Danio rerio: one gene and its partners. The protein of the gene in region 1 binds, or shares a complex with, the protein of each later gene. Links are inferred from orthologs where the notes say so. Each region holds a gene or a part of one and is shown on either strand. Other genes may lie near its edges.

Region 1 (2,538 bases):
TTAAGCCATGGAGTGCAGAATTAAAGACTGTGAAGTGGCATGATATATTCAACAAAATCAGAATGAGGTTGTTTCAAGTGTTTGAAACAGCTTGCCAAATGAACTTTCTAGAAAACATCTCTTCGGCTAGCACATTTCAGAGCAGCTTCAGTAAAAACTAAAGTAAACCAGCAACACTAGCTATGTTTCCTTCCAAAAATGTGAATTAACTTTATTCGCACACCTTTTATGCGATATTCTAGTTTTGTGCATAAAGCAAAGTTTCCATCCAACAAGTCAAACAAATCAAAATTGTCACTTCCTAATTAACTGGCGTCAAATATCAAAAGTAAAAGGAACTTAATTTCCTGAGGTATGAGAAGCTGTGTGAATCTTTTACTTAATTAAATAAATGACTTGTGCCTCAGAAGATGATGCTGACACGCAGTTAACGCACAGCACAGACACTCTTAGCAGTTCTGGAGGTAATATAATAACACTAATACTGAATTGGTTAGGGTGTTTCAGACTGACCAAAATAACATTTCATGTTTTACAGTGTGCTAAGCCTGCTGGTTTGTCGACTCACACACATCTTTTATCATCACATAATCAAAATCAATGACTTTTTTTAATGCGCATACTAAAATTTGTTTAGTGAAAGTCTTTATACGCATTTTTTCTTATCGAATAAAAAGTTATTTTTATTTAACTCTTTAACTTCTTATCTTGGCGTTTTTTATTTTTGGCGTTTTTTACGTTTTTTATTTTATGTGCATGTTGGATATGCGTATAAATAAAAAAAAAAAGTGGATGGAAACATAGTTACTGACACATTTATTTCACAGTCAGCACTGTAAAGCTGCTTCCGTTTAACCAATAACTTTTGTAAGGGACTAAATAAATGTGAGCTGATTGGAGGGTCAGAGTTACATTGCTATGACTATATTTACACATCCAATTGCTACTCCCAGCAATGTTGGAAATGTTTTGCTGAGTATATTGCTGAATGGAAAAAGCAAAGAATGAAATACTTAGCTTCAATTATATCAAGTCTTTAACAGTATGTCACTGTGTATTAGACCTACTTAATGTAGCAACACATTACACCAACTTTTTCCTTTCAAATTTTCAAAAGCACTGCCAGAGTTACTGACCATTTTAACTCTTGATTATTTCAATATTGTAAATAAAATCCTTTTCTCTCTCCCCTTTAGTGATGTGCTGCTGACAGAGGATGCGGTGCGCAGGTATCTCATCAGAAAGCCCATGACCACTAAAGACCTGCTGAAGAAGTTCCAGACTAAACGCACAGGCCTCAGCAGCGAGCAGACGGTCAATGTGCTCGCGCAGATCTTAAAGAGGCTCAATCCAGAGAGGAAGAACATCAATGACAAGATGCACTTCTACCTCACTGAGTGAAACTCTGAGCATCCATCACCAGCAGCCTCGCCTTCAGGAATGCAGCTCATTTTGGTGAACACCTTCTTTGTTTTGCTGTCATTTTGCTTTTAACAGTCCAGTGTTTATTTACAGTAGTCATTAAACTGCTGCTCATTGAGTTAAAGCTGAGAATACCGGAGGTCAAGAGTAAAATGACAAAGAAACGTTGCAAAGAAAGATAGCACAGTGAGTTTTTGTATATTGTAGATATGGGAAATGTGTGTTTGTAAATTTCACATTTATGCATCTTAATGAGAAGCTGGTTAATGTTTTTCCAAGAAAGAAATTAAATAAGGACTCAGAAAATGTGAAGATGTGGCTTTTATTACACACTCATTTGTTCTCATAGATTTTTTTTTTAACTGGCTTAACATTGTGCTGATTTTAAAAAAAAAAACTGTAAAAGGTACCACATTTTGCTGGCGCTTGCCCTTCGTAGTATGTTAAATCTGTTCTGAAATAAATACCTATTTGTTTTTATTTGAAATTTGATGCTCTCTATGCAATAATGATTTATTATTTGAGAGGAAAGTTAATAATGGATACAAAAATTGACATTGTACATAGAAGCAGTTGACTGGTCTCATCTTTTTTCATACTCCATTTATATGATAAATTACATGAATCTGATCTATTCCCTTCATAAATTCTCCAGAGGCTTTAGTTCCCCCCAAATAGTCTCTTTTTTGTGGTTATTCAAGGAAAAATACATCAGACTGAAAATTGAATCAACAGAGGTCTATTTGGTTTTCAAGACAGGTGCTATGATCAGTCCAGCCTCAGTTGTTTTACATGGGCAGGTTTCGGCATATCACAGAGATGCGGCGATGACGTGGAACCTTCTGTCCAGAGAAAAAGGACTCTTCATCTTTTAAGATTTCATGGGTGAATTTAAATCGTGCATCATCCCTGTTGATTTAAAGTAGTAGTGTTTTAGAGGTAAAATTACTTCATATTCTATGATAACAGAAATTTTATTTAGTTCTCTTATAACTTGAGAAATTTTGGGGGGTGGGGATAATAAATATGTAAATATTTACCGTAATATATAAAGTGAGCGCCGACTTAGAAGCAAATCCACCCGATCTGTGGTATTGTTTTCCGGGACCAGTCGCA
Region 2 (4,256 bases), on another chromosome or scaffold:
TATTTTAATATGTCTAAACTGTGGTCTTTACCCGGCCTATGAGTACGAAGGAAATCACTTCATGAAGATGAATCTTTGTTAGGGTGAAATACTGTATATTTTATTGCATTGTAATATATGATTTAAAAATGTTTATGTAAATAAAATATATTATATAAAATATGCCCCTGTATTAATAATGAAAAATGTTCTCATTTCTTTGGTTCTTTCTCTTTTTTCCCCTCATATGTATTAAAAAATGTCATTTTAGAAGGGGGGCTTAGTAGTAGTGGCTCAGTGGTTAGCATTGTCGCCTCACAGCAAGAAGGTCGCTGGTTCGAAGCACAGCTGGGTCAGTTGGCATTTCTGTGTGGAATTTGCATGTTCTTCTCTTGTTCGCGTGGGTTTCCTCCACAGCAAGGTTATTATAGTTTTGGATTTTTTATTGGTTTTAGTTTTTATTTTGTTTTGACTTTTTGTTTTCAAAATCAGTTTTAATTAGTTTTTAGAGGTAGATTTACTAGTTTTTATTAGTTTCCATATTTTATAGTTGCTTAGTTTTGTTTATTTATTTATTTATTTTTGCACATTGGGATATTTGCTATGTACAAGATTCAAAATCAATAAATATTGTACAAAATACAATAAATATTGTAAAATAAAAACTCAACAATAATTTTTTGAAACATGTTTTCACAGGACACATGACCACTATCATCTACCACTACCACCTACTCATCTTCAAATTCAAATACAACAGCCCACAAGATAGCCTTAAGTAAAATCGTGTGCATGGCTGCCTCTAAGGTTAGACACACAGTAGTGATGGGAAGTTCAGATCTTTAATTCATTCCGCTTTAGCAACCTCTGATGAATAAAGGGACTAAGCTGAAGGAAAATGAATGAATGTAAGTTAAGTGTACTCTACTTGCTTTTCTCTTTTCTGTTTGTTTTTATTTTTTTCTTGTTTGTTTACAATGCACTCTAATTGTACCTGCTTTTCGTTTTTCTTAGCTTTTTTCATTCTTTTTTCTTTGTTTATTTAAAATACAGTATAATTTAGTGTAATCTGTGATAGGCTATATTTTTAATTGATCAAATTTTACTTTTCATGAAAAAAATACTGTTGTTTGTTTTAAAAAATCAGTCATATTTGTAGTGAAGAAAATTACAACCTACACAATTTTAGCGAAAGTTTAGTGCGGACTTCTTTTCTATATATATATTTTTTGATTAACCCCAATGGTGACAAATGTACTTCCGTCAAGGGATTGACATGACGTGCGTGTCATCCAATGAGCTGACAGGATAAGGCGGGCTTTGAAGCGAACAACCAATCAATTAAGCAAAATAGATTACGCACTTTCACTGCGACAGCGTTTTACGCTACCGAGATCGCTTGTGTACCTCGATAGAAGTCTTTTTGTGTAATGCGTTCATGACAGTTATATTAATGTGTGGAAACATACAAAACTGAATACGAGAAACACTTAAGTGCTGCAGAGAAACAATACCAGCAAACATGAAGTAAGTAAACGGTAAATTTTAACTGTTAACGTTAGCATTGCTGCAAATCTGCAGACTGGTAATGGCCCAAACCGCTGTTCATTTAACACAAGTTTTGTTTTTCCTCTAACGTTAATGTCTATTTGATCCTATTAGGCTGAATATCGACGGGTTATTAGTCTACTTTCCGTATGACTACATCTATCCCGAACAATACTCGTATATGCTTGAGCTGAAGAGGACGCTGGATGCAAAGGTATTTATACACAGACACTCATACATTAAACTAATGTTGTATCATGTAACAACATAGACCATTTTCAGGGATGTAAACCAAAACAATGGTCTCAATGTATTTCATGTTTTCCATTTGTAATGTCCATACTTTCTGAGATTTTAAAAAGAGCCATATATTGTAAAATAATGTCATGATAGCGGTTTTAACATTAAATTATGATTTAATTGTCTCATGTTACAGTTATGAAATAGTTTGAAACAAGCAGAAAATGTTCATGGGCCAAAGATATCACCACATTGAAGTGATCTATATTAACATTGTGGCTGGATGTTTTGACATAGGCCAAAAGATGCATCTATAGTTGATACACAACTAATTTAAAGTGTATTTTTTGTTCCTTCTTACAGCGTTATTTTTACAATTGAGGTAAAGTTGGTTTTATATTAGCACATTCGTTCAGTGACATGCTCCCTTTATTGTTTACCATGGTAATTTGAATATTCAGAGTGAAATCCTATTAAAGTATGACTTCAAAACAACATTAGCTATATGTTTTTAGGCAGTGAACAATGTTGTACTTTGATAGTCATGGTAATAAGATTTCCCTATTTAGAGTTTGCTAAAATATTTTTCTAAAAATATGATATTAGGGAAAAAGACTGAATGTGTGGGTATAAAACCAACTTTACTGTTTTAATTGAGATAAAGTTGGTTTTATACTCACACATTTGTTCAGTGACATGCTCCCTTTTTGTTTACCATGGTACTTTGAATATTTGGTCTGCAATCCTAGGTAAGTATGACTTCAAAACAACATTAGCAATCTTTTTTTGTATAGTGAAATGTGGTCTTAAGGTTTGCTGGTTTAAGAGTTGGTTCAGGTAAAAAGTGTAATTATAAATGTACTTACAGAATTTAATTACAGATGTAATTACATGCAGATATTTAATCAAGCATAAGTACAATGTAAAATCATATATTTACTCATTAAGTAAAGTGTAACGAATGATTCAATTTCAGTGTAAGTTCATGTTAGTAAAGGCCACTTAATATAAAGTGGGACCGAAAAATTTTCTGAAAATATTTTTAGAGAGAAAGACTGAATGTGTGAATATAAAACCAGCTTTACTCTAATATTTTTATTGAGGTAAAGTTGGTTTTATATTCGCATAATCGTTCCGTGACATCCTCCCTTTATTTTTTACCATGGTACTTTGAATATTTGGTCTAAAATCCTATGTAAGTATGACTTCAAAACAATCTTTTTTGTACAGTGAACAGTGTTGTACTTTAAAAGTCATTGGATGCTATTATGGTTTCCCTATAAATATGAATTTGCAAAGAATATTTTTCTGAAATGTATATTATTAGGGAGAAAGACCAAATGTGTGGATTTATAGGTTATCATGATGCTACTGCCCTAATTTAATTGCCCCTGGTGGGAATAATAAAGTTCACCACATCATTTTTAGTCTGATTATGAATGCATTTTTTGTAATCTCGCATTATCTGAGATGTTGGATGGGATGTTTATGTTAAACAGAGCCATGACTGAGTGAAAGTAAAAAGCAATAAAAAACAAAAAAAAATTGTTTGTCTTATGTATAGTTGTTTCATATTTTGTTTTTATTATGTGTGTAAAGGGTCATGGAGTTCTGGAGATGCCCTCAGGAACAGGAAAAACTATTTCTCTTCTTTCGCTCATCGTTGCTTACCAGAAGGTGACGGATTTTGATCGACGATTAAATATTTGAATACTTTATTAAATGACAGTCTGATGGCTTTAAAAATATCCCTGATTTATATATATAATTATATATATATATATATATATATATATATATATATATATATATATATATATATATATATATATATATATATATATATATATAATGTTTAATCTCTTACAGACTTACCCTTTAGAAGTCACCAAGCTCGTGTACTGCTCTCGCACGGTGCCTGAGATAGAGAAGGTATTTTGTTGACTGACTTGATATAGATGTTTATTACCTTTTATACATTTTTTTTTGCTTTCTAAATACACATGTCGTATGTTAATTTTTATTTTATGCATCTTTCATTTACCTGCAGGTTGTGGAGGAGCTAAGGAAACTGATGGATTATTACTCAAAGCAAACGGGAGTAAAAAACGACTTCCTCGCCCTTGCACTTTCCTCGAGGAAAAACCTGTGCATTCATCCTGAGGTAGAGGCCGCTGAATGGGCAGATTTGTCTGTGATTTCAGTAAAATCTGTGCTGTGATCTTATTAAAAAGTACTGAATGTGTGACTACAGGTGAGCTCTCTGCGTTTTGGAAAAGAAGTAGATGGAAAATGTCACAGTCTGACAGCATCGTATATTCGAGCGCAGCATCAGAGTAACCCAAATCAGCCTGTCTGCCAGTTTTATGAGGTGGGACACATTTCCTAAGCATATACAATCATGGCACAGTTTTTCTTACTTTTTATTTTATTTTTTTCTAGTGTAAAGTGTATTTTTTCTTTCTATTTTTGCTGTTTCTTTCTATATT
Region 3 (4,538 bases), on another chromosome or scaffold:
TGTCTTTGGGCTGTGGGGGAAACCGGAGCACCAGGAGGAAACACACGGAGAACATGCAACACATGCAGAAACGCCAACTGACCCACCTGAGGCTCGAACCAGCTACTTTCTTGCTGTGAGGCGATAGCACTGCCTACTGCGCCACAGCATCGTCTTCACTGTAAAATATAATAATTAGAATATTTGCTTCAAATACATTTATTTAAAAAATTCTATACTTAGATAAAAGGAAATTATATATCCATTAAATAATATCCATTAAATAGTTGTTAAACAGTAAGTTGCATCATTTGGATCTTTGAAAGGCCATTGAAAGAGCAAAGATAATATATCTTGTTTTATTTTTATTTATTTTTTTACATATTTGCGGATATTGCAATGAAAACTGGAAATGTCATTTTAAAAATACTATCTTGTTACCTAAATTACTTCATAGAGGTAATTTGTTCAGTGCAAAATTTCTGATATTTGTTAAGTTGAGGGAGTTTGATAAGTTTCTTTGAGCTATTAGCATGTACAGCGTGTGGCTCAATTTCATTTACATGCAAATATTATGCTAGAAATTCAGTCCTGTTACTTTCAGTCCTGTTACTTATAAGAGTTACAGGAATGAGTAACAATAATGAAAAGCATCTTCTGATACTTAATAGAATGAACAGTTTTTATTATATTATTCATCTGATTTCCACACGTTATGGATGGAAATGTTGAAGTTGTAAGATATTTAAAGGAATAGTTTTCTCAGAAATGACAGTTCCACTACATGACACACACACACACACACACACACACACACACACTCTCTCTCTCTCTTTTCACTTACTGATTTGGTTTTCTTGTGAAAACTTTTTTTCCCTACAATTTACTCAGTTAAGTTCTGTACATCATATACTTAAATGTTAAGTAAATTATGTTATAAAAAACATGAATTTCAGGCCACAGTTTTCTTGAAAAAAGGGAAAGTGCCTTTGCATTCCTATAAAAATACATTTTTTTATGTAAATCGTGATTTTTTAAATACAAAAATCAAATGTTTGAAAGTGTAACAAACCATATTTTAAAAAGAAAATCACTTTCTTAAGAGGAAAACAAAGTAATTACCTGATAGACTTTTATTCATGCTTTTTAAAAGACTCGTTAGTTTGGGTAATATGACTGAAAAATGCATTCATCTGCCACATAATACCTTGTAAAAACTCAAATTAAGTCATTTTATGTGGACCAATACATATTTTGAAAAGTTAAGTATGTGTGTTATTAGATTCCGCCTTGAAAAGTAATTAAAAGAAGTTTAATTGTAAAGAGTTACAATAAGCAAAATGCATCCATTCGGTGGAATGGTCAATAATTACTCCCATGCTAATCACCATACTCAACTTTTACAAGCGATGGTCAAAATTAGATATATAATCCAACCATTTTGACCCAAAGTGTATTAAAAGACTCATAATAAAGGTACCTCTTAACTCTGTCGTTGTGTTGAAAATACTACGACCAGACTACGACACAATACTGCCCCCGGTCGTTATTCACTCAATATTACCCTTTTTCCCATGTCTTCCCATGTCATGCGCATGCGCAGTACAACGTGCGTCCATTAGTAGCATCGTTCGCTGCTGGTTTTGAAGCAGGATGAACGCGCCACCAGCATTCGAGTCTTTTTTGCTGTTTGAGGGAGAAAAGAAGTAAGTGCACTATAAAGCTGTCTTTGCTATTCAATTATACTAACATATTATACTAGCCTATAATAAGAGTAAATATTCAGTTGGAAGACAGGAGGGAGATTCAAAAGGCTTTAGCTTGTTGGCTAACGACAGGTTACGTTAGTCAGTCCATCTGAAAACAAAATACAACCTACTTCTGTTTACAGAGTGCTTTATACAATACAGCTTAAATCATATCGACGATTGATTCATTCACTATTTAAGTTTATTGTTCATTATTTTTGTATAAACGAATACAATTTCAGATGCTAAGCTGTTTGAATAAGACATGTAATACCAACATTTAGCTCAATTAAGTTTAAGTTGGTTAAGTGACCTTGTGAATCTAAATAAAAGTATTCGTTTTTAGACGTACTTTAGGTCATGATACCATGACATTTTTTGAATACCATGTAAATACCATAGTACATGTACAGTAATTGGTCTCAGCATCAAATTAAATAACAGAGGTAATACGTAACGTTAACATATAAAATTTATGCAAATAAGGTGTGCTTTAATGTTTTAAATAACTTTTAACTATAAAAATAAGATTGTCAAAAATATTAGTAAAATAACCTTCCATATAAATATGAATATATTTTTTAAAAAGTAAACCTTTATTGTAATCTACATTGATTAAAATATGCAGTAGTAAGTGCTTAAACTAAATTGTTTTGCCTTGTAAATGCCTCTTTCTGACAGATATGCTTGACAAATTTAAGTAAAATTGGTTTTGTATTCGCACATTTGGACTTTCTCCTTAATATAATTTCAGAAAAGTTTTATTTGCAAATTCTGAATAGAGAAATCATTAGCAGCCAATGACTATCAAAGTACAACATTGTTCAGTCAGGTAAATAGTACTTATGTTTTTGAGAAGTCATATTTGCAGGCTATTTTAGACTGAATATTCAAAGCAGTGTGATAAACAATATATGCACAGTGTTACAAGGTTTCACTGTTCAAAAATTACCAAATGTCTGAATATAAAACCAACTTTACCTCAATGCTTGACAATACTTTTTGGCATAAAAAAATATTTTTGCACTGAATGACATTTAAGTGAGCATCTTCTCTTAATAAGGGTTAAAATTATAGTAGGATAAAAAGATGATAAATATGATGATAAAGCTTATTATATTTTGTATATTTACCTAGAAAAACATTTTTCATCTCTGATCTACTTAACAAAGTGACATATTACTGCCAACATTGTACCATGATACCACAGGGTCTGCGGGGTCTTAAGAACTATTAAAAGTTGATTAATCAATGTAGAGAAATGTAAGGCCCTTAAAAAGTATTTTAAAATCCTAAATGCTATTTTGCAAGGTGTTAAATTTTATATAATTTTGATTGTGCAATGTAGGTATGGTTGTATGCTAAAGTTTGCCTGAATTAAATCTAAATGTCAGGATGCTGTGTAGTTTATGAAATCAATGAAATCCTGCTAGATTTGACATCATGCAGTTTTGTTTACTGCAGTTATCAAGGAAAAACCATTATTTCTGCAGTTCTATAGGCACCAACCTGCTGAATTAGCTATATTTAATAGATTTTAATTCAATATAATTATGTATATCAATATGTAAGTTTTTTACATTAATATTTAATAAATATACTGTAAGTTAAAATCTCTTTATTGTTTCCGATTGAAATCTTAAGTGATAATAAGGTCTTAAGGTCTTGTATGGAGAGAGTCTTAAAGGTATTGAAATTCACTCTCTGGTTCCTGTATATACTCTGTACCAAAACATTACTATTTTTAAAAGTAAGGGATTGCCTAAAATTTCTGTTCAACTTCTTTTTACAGGATCACAATAACCAAAGACACCAAGGTGCCGAATGCATGTCTGTTTACTCTAAATAAAGAGGATCACACACTGGGAAACATCATCCGATCGTAAGAGACCAAACTTTTGATACACTAAAACATTTTCAGATATTTATGTGGGTTTTGTAATCATCCTATATTTACATTAGAGCAATTCCATGCAAATGTCAACCTTGTCATGAAAAAGATTAGGTTTTAACTCTGTGGTTAGTTGTTTTGGAAAATATAAACAGATGTTTCAGTATAATGTTAACACATACTTTCTCTGTGAATGTGTTTTGAGATCTTACTGCAAATGTCACATTTGTAACATTGGAATTGCTCATTAGGCAGTTGCTGAAGGACCCCCAGGTGCTGTTTGCTGGATATAAGGTTCCTCATCCTCTGGAGCATAAGGTTGTGATCCGCGTTCAGACGACACCAGACTACAGTCCTCAGGAAGCCTTCACTAATGCCATCACGGATCTGATCAGTGAGCTGTCCCTGCTGGAGGAGCGATTTAGGGTATGTTCATGTGTTTGCATTGAGTAAAAAATGATTCCAGAACAAGCGCTCCTGAAAAAAATGCACTCTATAGCAGCACTGCAAAAGACAATTGAGGTAAAGTTGGTTTTGTATTCACACATTCAGACGTTCTACTTAATATTATAATTTCAGAAAAGTATTATTTGCAAATTCTAAATAGGGAAATCATATCAGCGTCCAATGGCTTTCAAAATGCAACATTGTTCATGATCAGTTAAATGGTGCTAATGTTGTTTTAAAGGGCACCTATGGTAACAAATCTACTTTTCAAGCTGTTTGGAAAGACGTGTGTAAGTAAAGTGTATACACCGTCATATTGGGGTGATATAAACACACCCAGTGTTTTTTTTTTTTTTTTTTCTTCAATTTAACAACATAAAAACGACAGACCAATTGGAGCAGTTTTTAGAGCGACCGCAACTTGATGTAAAAGTGTGGTCCCCCCGCCCACCAATATTGATTGACAGGCATGC

Evidence for each region. Proteins that work in one complex are often made in the same cells at the same time.
Region 2: gtf2f1 (region 1) and ercc2 share a complex: the UniProt entries of both Homo sapiens proteins name them as parts of the TBP-based Pol II pre-initiation complex. The link is inferred for Danio rerio from reciprocal best matches to the Homo sapiens genes GTF2F1 and ERCC2.
Region 3: gtf2f1 (region 1) and polr2j share a complex: the UniProt entries of both Homo sapiens proteins name them as parts of the TBP-based Pol II pre-initiation complex. The link is inferred for Danio rerio from reciprocal best matches to the Homo sapiens genes GTF2F1 and POLR2J.

The regions. Positions count from the first base shown.
Region 1 is NC_133178.1:32,749,276-32,751,813, reverse strand, and holds the end of gtf2f1 (general transcription factor IIF subunit 1), read left to right. Parts: intron 1-1,196; coding exon 1,197-1,401; 3' UTR 1,402-1,909; downstream 1,910-2,538. Other genes in the region: alkbh7 (alpha-ketoglutarate-dependent dioxygenase alkB homolog 7, mitochondrial), read right to left, coding at 2,211-2,331, 2,463-2,538. UniProt on the Homo sapiens protein: TFIIF is a general transcription initiation factor that binds to RNA polymerase II and helps to recruit it to the initiation complex in collaboration with TFIIB. It promotes transcription elongation.
Region 2 is NC_133190.1:26,156,219-26,160,474, reverse strand, and holds the start of ercc2 (general transcription and DNA repair factor IIH helicase subunit XPD), read left to right. Parts: upstream 1-1,314; 5' UTR 1,315-1,501; coding exon 1,502-1,506; intron 1,507-1,641; coding exon 1,642-1,741; intron 1,742-3,366; coding exon 3,367-3,444; intron 3,445-3,636; coding exon 3,637-3,699; intron 3,700-3,817; coding exon 3,818-3,931; intron 3,932-4,021; coding exon 4,022-4,138; intron 4,139-4,256. UniProt on the Homo sapiens protein: ATP-dependent 5'-3' DNA helicase. Component of the general transcription and DNA repair factor IIH (TFIIH) core complex, not absolutely essential for minimal transcription in vitro.
Region 3 is NC_133180.1:67,353,620-67,358,157, forward strand, and holds the start of polr2j (DNA-directed RNA polymerase II subunit RPB11-a), read left to right. Parts: upstream 1-1,596; 5' UTR 1,597-1,632; coding exon 1,633-1,685; intron 1,686-3,519; coding exon 3,520-3,609; intron 3,610-3,869; coding exon 3,870-4,044; exon of another isoform or gene 4,045-4,538. UniProt on the Homo sapiens protein: Core component of RNA polymerase II (Pol II), a DNA-dependent RNA polymerase which synthesizes mRNA precursors and many functional non-coding RNAs using the four ribonucleoside triphosphates as substrates.